2 linked regions of the Arabidopsis thaliana genome follow. The protein of the gene in region 1 interacts with the protein of each later gene in a pairwise test. Each region holds a gene or a part of one and is shown in the gene's direction. Other genes may lie near its edges.

Region 1 (3,386 bases):
GTTTCTCTGCTATGCATTTTCCTTCCCAATTGTCACCAGTTTCCTCAAGAGCAAACTGCATAAAGAGGGTTTTCATTTATCTCAGATGTGATCAAACAACAACTTACTCCTATTGTAGATGTTGGCTTGAGGCAATTCTCATGTCTGTTATCTCACCATTTGAGATTTCTCTATGTATTCCACCAGAACAACAGTGTCTTTGAAAGAATTTTCTGTTGTGCTCATTATCTGTCATACAACTTTACTTTGTCACCAAGAGGGCATTAAATTAGTTGAAACAAGTGAAATAGATCTCTCTACCTGCAAAGCCACTTCCAAACTCAGAGCCTTTTGTTTGCAGGCAACGACATACATGCTTTTGCCAGTTCAGTCTTCGAGTTTATTGAAAACAGGTGTACCAAAGCCCCTGCATATAAGTTTATTATTAATCAATAAGCAAGCAAAAGTCCGAACAATGAAGGTAATAACACACCACCAACAAAGTTCCCCTTTGTTCTTACATCAACAAATGCGGCTATCACCTTTTCAGCAAACTCGAGATCAGGACACCTGACGATATTAATTTCTATCTGGCACACAAGCAAGGTTGTTGCAAATGCAAATTTATCAAAAAACGACAAACGCTAAGAGAATGCACCAAAATGTGAAGGATATGTAAAGAGTTTCGAGTACATTGAAACAATTCAGGTGCAATCAGAAAACTTGCACACTTCAGTTCCTAAATATGCTCTAAAAATTTCTTGGCCAAAGCTCTAGGAGCCACTCTTTCAATGGTCTCTCTAGATGAAGACCTCCTGCCACTCATGAAGAAACAGAGAGACTTATTTTAAGATACTCTCGATTCAAGTACTAATCCTAACCATAATAAGCAATACACATATATAACGCTTTGAACAAAAGAATAGTCATTACCTGAAGTGATCTGACTATGTACTAATGTACATGTCTTAAGTTGCATCAATTATGTGAAGGCCTAAATGCAACAGACGATTTCATTGTAATCCTACAAATAAAGCACATCCATCGATTCACCAATGAAGTGAGAACCATATGCCACAAAACTATTAATCAAAAATCTGATAACTCCAAGTACTGCAAAAGAATGATTAATTATATGACCATTTCTTCTATAACTCCTAATCCGATATACATAAAGCTAATCAAGGATGATGCAAGTGAAATAACAAACGAAATCAGAGAAACTCATTGAAAGAAGTGAATCCGGTCGGGTTGATCCATAAAGGGGAATGAAAGAAGAAGAAGAAACCATTGTAAATTTCAAAATGTATTGATGGTGGTACGGTTTAATTGGTTCAGACTTCTAGATTACTGCGATTCAAATGTTTCAATCGGCAAAATCCATGTAATTCTTCGCGATTACAGTTACAGATATAACAGAACTAAACAGCAAAAAATGGAAATTAGTATGTGATAATCCATAATTATCTCAAGGAAATGATTTACCTCTAGAAGTTTAAACCTGGATTTTAGCAATCCTAGTGGCGATAATCTCTTAACTGCTTATCAGCCTCATAAACTAATTCACATGATATACTTACGTGGCACTAATAAGTGCTTACTTGGAACACTCACCAGATTACACGTGGCTCACTGTAACAGACTGAAGCTTATAAAAGGCAACACTCCTCTCCTCCCTATCTTCAAAATGGATCTCAATTTTGTCATTCTGTTTTACTTTCAATGAAAACTTACTTTTGGTTATACTTATGTATGATTCATTTATTCATTTAATTCAAAAACGTCACAATCCCTTTTTTTTATTACACATGAAATGAGCTCAACGTACAAGGACAACCATCCGTACCACCACCACCCTCACCATCACCATCACCATCCAAAGAGAGAACCCAATGAAAACAACTCCGGAATCTTATACACTCCCTCACCTTCACCGTCACCGCCAACTTTAAAAGTCAACAAAGACTCTCACGTTATTAAAAAACCACCGTCTCCGTCTTCTTTCTCCTCCGCGGCTAAGCCTCGTCACCCGGTGATCATTTACACACACACTCCAAGAATCATACACACTAATCCTAAAGATTTCATGGCTCTTGTTCAAAAACTCACCGGAATGACCCACTCCGACGAAGATCTCGGCGGTGGTAACGCAATGACCGATCCCGGGGTGGTAAAATCAATCAACCGAACCGTCTCTGAACCAACCGTCGACAGAAAAAACAACCGCAATCGCTGCGGCGGCGGTAATAATTACCTTAGAAACTACTCCGGTGCCGGAAACGGAAAGGGGATATTTTTTAATAACACGATGATAAGTGAAGATAGTGAATCGTCGTCGGTGATAACAACTGAGGAGAACATCGGAGAACATGGACAGGTTAATTCTTCTCTTCCGTATTCAGCGGTGGCTATTCCTCCACAGCCACCGCCTCATCCTCCTCCACCTCCGCCGCCACCGTCTATGTACGACGCTGCGGGGATAAACTACGGTGCTTATTTACCGACATTTCCGATTTTCCCGCCGGCGAATCCAGCTGATAATTTCTTATGCGGTAATCAACCGTTTGCGAATTTTGATGATCCGCTTTTCTTCGCGCCTAATATGAGAAGCTCTTTCTCTTCTTCTTCATCTTCTGGCTTCGATGGCTTGACGGAGTTTCGCGATTTTTAAGTTATCCGGCGTAAATTATTTCCGGTTTTGGAAAAATAATTTGTTTTTTCTTCATTGGAGGAGGTCTTCAAAGGGACTAATAATTTTTGAAATTAGTTAATAGTTATTTTTCCTTTAGTTAATTACTTTATATACTCGAAACAATTTTTCTGTGATCATCTTTTTTATTTCAAAAATTCATTATTTTTGTAAAATTTTATTGAATTCAAGAGTTGGCTCCCGAAATTAAGCTTAATACATACACAAACTGCATACATACATACATACATAAATGTATAGATTATAAGTATATATGTACGTCTGTGGCAACTATAGACGCTCTCCAATTAGTTCTTCTTCTTCTTATTGTTCTTGTCATGTAGAAGGACCACTGGAGCCGCTGGTATACTAAACCACCACTCTCTCAACCGCCTTATTAACCGTTCCGTGCTAGCTCTCCTTGGTGGCGAGTATCTTGTGAAAAGCTCAACAAATACAACCGAAAGCAAGTAGCGTCCCGGAACAAAGGCCATCATCGTCGCTGCGACCACAATCGCAATCGCAAACTTCTGGCTCGCCTGAAATAGCGGTTTCAAAACTGTGGTTAGACACAGCTTTAGGAGAAGCAGTTTGTGTTAAATATAAGAGGGAAGGCTGACCTGAGGGAAAAGCGAGAATAATAAAGCTCGGAACTTGAGAAGAACGATGTTTGCGTCTTGAATGTTCTGTTCGAGCTCCGAGATCCCGTTCTGGACTG
Region 2 (6,301 bases), on another chromosome or scaffold:
GAACTTTAAATAATTCAAAATCTTAAGTACACCAAACTAAAATAGTGAAACCACCCCTTTTTCTTGGTCAAATGTTTGATCAAAATTATGATGATGGTGTGGTTATGTGAAGGGGACAACACCTTTTTGAACTTTGGAAATTTTCATGCAAACTTTTCCGTTTCTAGATTTTCTTAGAGTTTTTTAATTACCAAAAAAAAACAGTTATCGAGTTTTTCCTTATTTCTTCTGTTAATCTAGACATTAAATTTAATATGTAAAAATGACAAGACTATGTATATGATATGAGTGTTGCACCAAGAAAAAATTACTATCTAAAATCTTCACTAGTCACATATTTTTGAATAGTTATGATATATTTTCTGTTGCTTTATCATTTTACCGAGTTACCCACTTTCGAATTATCAGTTTTTATCAAAACATGGATTGATAATTATTTAAAATACAAGTAAAACAATTGTTGGTTTAGAAAAGAATTACATAGTTTTATTCTGAAACGGCATTGAACAGTATTGAGAGATATATACACATATTCTTCTTATCTTTTACACATTTTGGAAGTTTTACAACCAAAGAAACATGTTTTTTTTTTTTTTTGAAAAATTCTCTAACAAGATTTGAGGTGGACCAACTTGGATCCAGAATGTCACCACTCACCATTATATATCCTAACTGTTATCCACGCAAATAGAACACAACCGCTACCCCACAAGATAAACCAATAGCTTAAATTTTTAACAAAAAAAATTCGATTCAACTCCCACATAATTTGGTAGGTAATTTGACTCAAGGGCCTAGGCCCATTTAAACCAATGAAAGAAACTGAGAACGGCCCAAAGATATCTCACACATATCCTCTCTATATAATACATAATCATAGCATATCAATTTCATTATCACCGATCAAATTAGGGTTTCTCTTTCGATTACAGAGTTTCACTTGTTTGGAGCCAACAATCATACTCTGCAACCAAAATCCAAAACAAGAAAAAAATGGCCTGTCTCAACGATGATAAGAAGAAGAAGTTTCACCTAGTCCTTGACTTGGACCACACGCTTGTCCACTCGGTACTTGTTTCGGACCTTTCCGAAGAGCAGAAGTATCTAATCGAAGGAGCTGATTCAAGGTCAGATCTGTGGAGAATCAACAGAGATCCACTCCCAGCGAATATATGATAAAGCTACGACCTTTTCTTCATGAATTTCTATTAGAAGCCAACAAGCGTTTCATCATGCACGTATACACAATGGGTGATTCTAGTTACGCTCAGACCGTGTTGAAGTGGATTGATCCGGAAAAAAATATACTTTGGAGATCGAGTCCTAGCCAGAGAACAAAGTCCTTATGAGAAGACACTCGATCTTCTTGCTGTTGATGAGCGTAGAGTGGTAATTGTCGATGATGCGATTGATATTTGGCCTCATCACAATAGAAACTTGTTACAAATCAGCAAATACATTTATTTCAGCGTCGGTATTGAACTATTGATAAACATCGCAGAAGATAAGATAGACGAGAGTCGAAGCAACGGATCATTGGCGCACAAAAGATTCAAAAAGGTAAGTTTTAAAAGACCTGAGACTGTTGATACCTGATCCTTAATTATCATCAACAATACTGCTTCTGACTGTGTCAATCTACCAATGCTACAACACTCTTACTTTGAGATTTAGGATGTTTCTGGTTCCAACAACTCTTTAAACAAGCAATTTTGATTACACTAACTTTTTTATCTTTTACATTTTGACAAATGTACATGAGAAAAAAAAAGAGGATTGTTTACATCTTCTAATTGTTTTTGTCAACTTTAACGTTTGTTGTTGTTGCTTTAGAAATTGATAAAGCTAAATAAAGGAGAAAAAGAAGAAGAAGAAAATAAATTATTAAAAAAATGAAAAGGAAAAACAAAGAATTAAGAGAGGTGTGAAGTCAATATCGTTCTTTCATCTTTCACTACAATCTTCACTAACGCAGAGACCAAAATCTCTCTCATTTCGCCATAGCTGAGAGCTTCTTCTACTTTCCCTTAGCTTCTTTTTTCCTTCATTTTTGTTCTACCCTTGCGAATCTCTGAAATGAACCCTCAAGCTAATGACCGGAAGGAGTTTCAGGGAGATTGTTCGGCGACGGGAGATCTCACGGCAAAGCACGATTCAGCTGGAGGAAACGGAGGTGGAGGTGCTAGGTATAAGCTGATGTCACCGGCCAAGCTTCCGATCTCGAGGTCGACTGATATCACGATTCCTCCTGGGTTGAGTCCGACTTCGTTTTTGGAATCTCCTGTTTTCATCTCCAACATCAAGGTTTAAGCAGCTACTTTACTATCTCTTTCTTCTTCTTCTTCTTCGATTTTGGTAAATGCAATCACAGTTTCACCTCATTTTTGTTGTCGATTTGAGAAATTAGGTTTTCTGATTTCATATTTTTAAGACCTAAAGGATTTTTCATGAAATTGGATTGTGCCATTTTGAAACTGAGTTTGGAATTGGAATTGATTCATAACATTGACATTTTGTCCCACTTGTTCGGTTTCTCGTTGCTTCAATTTCGATTTGGATCACTGTTCATGTTAGTGGGGAATTTCTGGTAATTTGGTGGAGATGCTCTCTGCTTGCTCACTAGGAAAAACATTGGACTTGGGTTTCCATTTTTGTTTCTTAGTCCATTACAAGTGATTAAAAAACTATGATTTGTTTGCTTACGTTAGGGACTTTGGCCAAGATTCTGATTCTTTGTGCTACTATACTCTGCATTGGTTTGCATTTGTGTCCGTTCAGATTGTTCTTTCGAATAAACCTTTTTTTTTTATCATGTTCTATTGGTGCTGGATACTTTATTTATATCCTCTTGCTCTTTGTCGTTTCTTCTTCATACTGTCTAGTGTCTATCTTCCATGTGTTTGGTGCTTCTCTTTTCTTTTTCCATTCTTTGTACATTTAGGTTTCGGTTAGCTGCGTCTGTGTGGGGATTCCTTTTACTTATATGAGCTATTGAATGATTCTGTTGGTGAGAAAATGTACTTTACTCGCATGTTCACCATTTAGATCTATAGAGTATTCGTTTTGTTCAATTAAGTTATGAATAATAGGTTATATGCTATGTGCTCAATTTTATTTTGCATCTCTTAGTTATATCTTCTTATCCCTTGATTGAACAAGATATTGTTTTTGTTTTTAGAAGACTGTTTTTTTTAAAACATCATGTTTATTGATAGATCAGGTTCATGTTTTACAAAATCTGATATGTATTGTTTTATTCATGCCATTAATAATATGCCACTTTCTTTAACTTTCAGCCAGAACCTTCCCCTACTACTGGTTCTTTGTTCAAGCCTCGACCAGTGCACATTTCTGCTAGCTCAAGTTCTTATACAGGCAGGGGGTTCCATCAGAACACCTTTACTGAGCAGAAGTCCAGTGAATTTGAGTTCAGACCTCCTGCATCAAATATGGTATTGTCCAAAACAATGCTGTTTGTTATGCTTTGCATGTAATGTACTGTTCAGATAGTCGACGACATATGAACCCCGAACAGTGGCTGACCTAATTTTTCTGCACGAAGTCTATTTATTCAGCGCTTGGATTGCTTGTAAATCTCAAAATCTTTCGCCTTTGCATACATATAATACCATGCCAGCCTTAAATTGTTTCATAAGGAGCCTTGTATCCAAAAGCTCACAGTTTATAAGTTACTTGTATATTGTTGGGGGATGACTTTGTCTAAACATCTTTATTGATTTCAAGGTATATGCAGAGCTTGGCAAGATTAGAAGTGAGCCACCAGTACATTTTCAAGGCCAGGGCCATGGATCCTCACACTCACCTTCTTCGATCAGTGATGCTGCAGGTTCCTCAAGTGAGCTAAGCCGGCCAACTCCTCCTTGTCAGATGACACCAACGAGCTCAGATATTCCGGCTGGATCTGATCAAGAGGAATCAATCCAGACTTCCCAAAATGACTCCAGAGGAAGCACTCCATCCATCTTGGCTGATGATGGTTATAACTGGAGAAAATATGGTCAAAAGCATGTCAAAGGGAGTGAATTTCCCCGGAGCTATTATAAATGTACACATCCTAATTGTGAAGTGAAAAAGTTATTTGAAAGATCTCATGATGGGCAGATCACCGATATTATATACAAGGGTACACATGACCATCCTAAACCTCAACCTGGTCGCCGAAACTCTGGTGGTATGGCTGCACAAGAAGAAAGGCTAGACAAGTATCCTTCTTCAACTGGCCGAGATGGTAATCATAACTAAAACTTGAGACAAATATGCACTTACTCCCTTGGCAATATCTATAACTTTTTCCTTCTACTCTTATGTCTGCATACAGAGAAGGGATCTGGCGTCTACAACTTGTCTAACCCCAATGAACAAACTGGTAACCCTGAAGTACCTCCTATCTCAGCATCTGACGATGGTGGAGAAGCGGCAGCGTCAAATAGGAATAAAGATGAGCCGGACGATGATGATCCATTCTCAAAACGGAGGTATTAGAGTTTAACAAAGGATTCAGGTGCTTGATTTGAATCTGTGATTTGACATGATTAAAACTTTATTTTAACTTTATGTAGGAGGATGGAGGGTGCGATGGAAATAACTCCACTAGTGAAACCCATCCGGGAGCCTCGGGTTGTTGTTCAAACTCTGAGTGAGGTTGACATTCTGGATGATGGTTATAGATGGCGCAAATATGGGCAGAAAGTCGTAAGGGGGAACCCAAATCCCAGGTTTGTACAGCATTAAAGCTTTTAACACCCCAAAAAATTCCTTGCTTTTTTCTCGAATGAACATACATAAACATAACTTGCGAGTTCAAAATGGTAGCTAGAACAGTTTAGTCCTTGTCTTCAGGACCTAGTTATTTGACATGTGCATAAAGTGTTGCTTCTTTTAGGAATTTGGTTTGGAATATGGAAGATAGTGATCTTAACAGACTCAACATGTGCGCAATGGAGATATTATGTTTCATGATGTTCCTCGGCCTTTTGTAGGAGCTACTACAAATGCACAGCTCATGGATGCCCAGTGAGAAAACACGTGGAGAGAGCATCACATGATCCAAAAGCTGTAATAACAACATACGAAGGCAAACACGATCATGATGTTCCCACTTCAAAGTCTAGCAGCAATCACGAAATCCAGCCTCGGTTCAGACCAGATGAAACAGACACCATCAGCCTCAATCTTGGTGTTGGAATCTCATCTGATGGACCTAACCACGCTTCCAACGAACATCAGCACCAGAATCAACAACTTGTCAACCAAACTCACCCAAATGGAGTCAATTTCAGGTTTGTTCATGCTAGTCCCATGTCATCCTACTATGCTAGCTTAAATAGCGGTATGAATCAGTACGGCCAGAGAGAAACAAAGAACGAGACTCAAAATGGTGACATCTCGTCCTTGAACAATTCATCTTACCCATATCCGCCCAACATGGGGAGAGTACAATCGGGTCCGTAAAACAAAAAGTAAGCAACATTATGTACGGGATCTTCTTAGGTTAGGAATGGGACGAGGCCTTGTTCTATATAATTCCTATTTCTTCACAGAGAGCTGATCTTGATTCAAACTATCTCCACCATATATATTTGTTTGTGTCACCTGTATTGAGTTCCAAAAATGTTATGTAAAAATACACAACAAGATGTTAATGCTTTTATTTAAACAAGAAACAGCAATATTACTACAAACTATTTCTTCTTCACCGTAATTAGATATGCTCCATGAAAGAAACACCACGACGGTACTTAAGCTACGTGGTCCTTAAGCAGACAATTACAACTGTTGCCCGTTTTTCAATAATAGTTTCTCAACTTTTAGTTCTAGACTTCTAGATTTGTCAAAAACTCATAATAATGAGATATAAATACTTCGACTAGGTGATTTACCATGGGACAATATTAAACTTTGTTCAATTATTTGGAAGGTTATACTATACAGTCTCTATACAAAATTAAGAGATTTGTGCAAGAAGTAGATTGGCAATTAAAACAGTAACCTTATTCTCTCTTACATGTATCTAGATTATTTGGTGGAAGTTACAATCTCTAATTTCATATTTAGAACTTTTTTTTTTCCGAAGCATTTACTGTTGTTAAAGACAAACATATTAGATTCTTTTAGATCATAGTACCCGTTAAGCAAATAAAAATTTTGTCGCTATCAAACTAATGACATTATAAGTCATTTATAATCATCGTCGTCAAAATAGTCTTGTTTTTTTCACCGGACCAGTGAATCATTTTCATCTTTTGCGGAAAGGTAAAAATCGGATTATCATGTTAATTTT

The links. Proteins that work in one complex are often made in the same cells at the same time.
Region 2: the proteins of AT3G18360 (region 1) and WRKY20 interact in a two-hybrid assay, tested with the Arabidopsis thaliana proteins (one large-scale study listed by BioGRID).

Annotation. Positions count from the first base shown.
Region 1 is NC_003074.8:6,300,091-6,303,476, reverse strand, and holds AT3G18360 (VQ motif-containing protein), read left to right. Parts: upstream 1-1,664; 5' UTR 1,665-1,792; coding exon 1,793-2,650; 3' UTR 2,651-2,857; downstream 2,858-3,386. Other genes in the region: AT3G18350 (heat-inducible transcription repressor (DUF639)), read right to left, coding at 2,977-3,207, 3,289-3,386. UniProt on the Arabidopsis thaliana protein: May function as negative regulator of plant defense.
Region 2 is NC_003075.7:13,436,469-13,442,769, reverse strand, and holds WRKY20 (WRKY family transcription factor family protein), read left to right. Parts: upstream 1-1,773; 5' UTR 1,774-2,076; coding exon 2,077-2,304; exon of another isoform or gene 2,305-2,995; coding exon of another isoform or gene 2,996-3,007; exon of another isoform or gene 3,008-3,296; coding exon 3,297-3,452; exon of another isoform or gene 3,453-3,744; coding exon 3,745-4,249; intron 4,250-4,339; coding exon 4,340-4,496; intron 4,497-4,580; coding exon 4,581-4,736; intron 4,737-5,000; coding exon 5,001-5,472; 3' UTR 5,473-5,765; downstream 5,766-6,301. UniProt on the Arabidopsis thaliana protein: Transcription factor. Interacts specifically with the W box (5'-(T)TGAC[CT]-3'), a frequently occurring elicitor-responsive cis-acting element.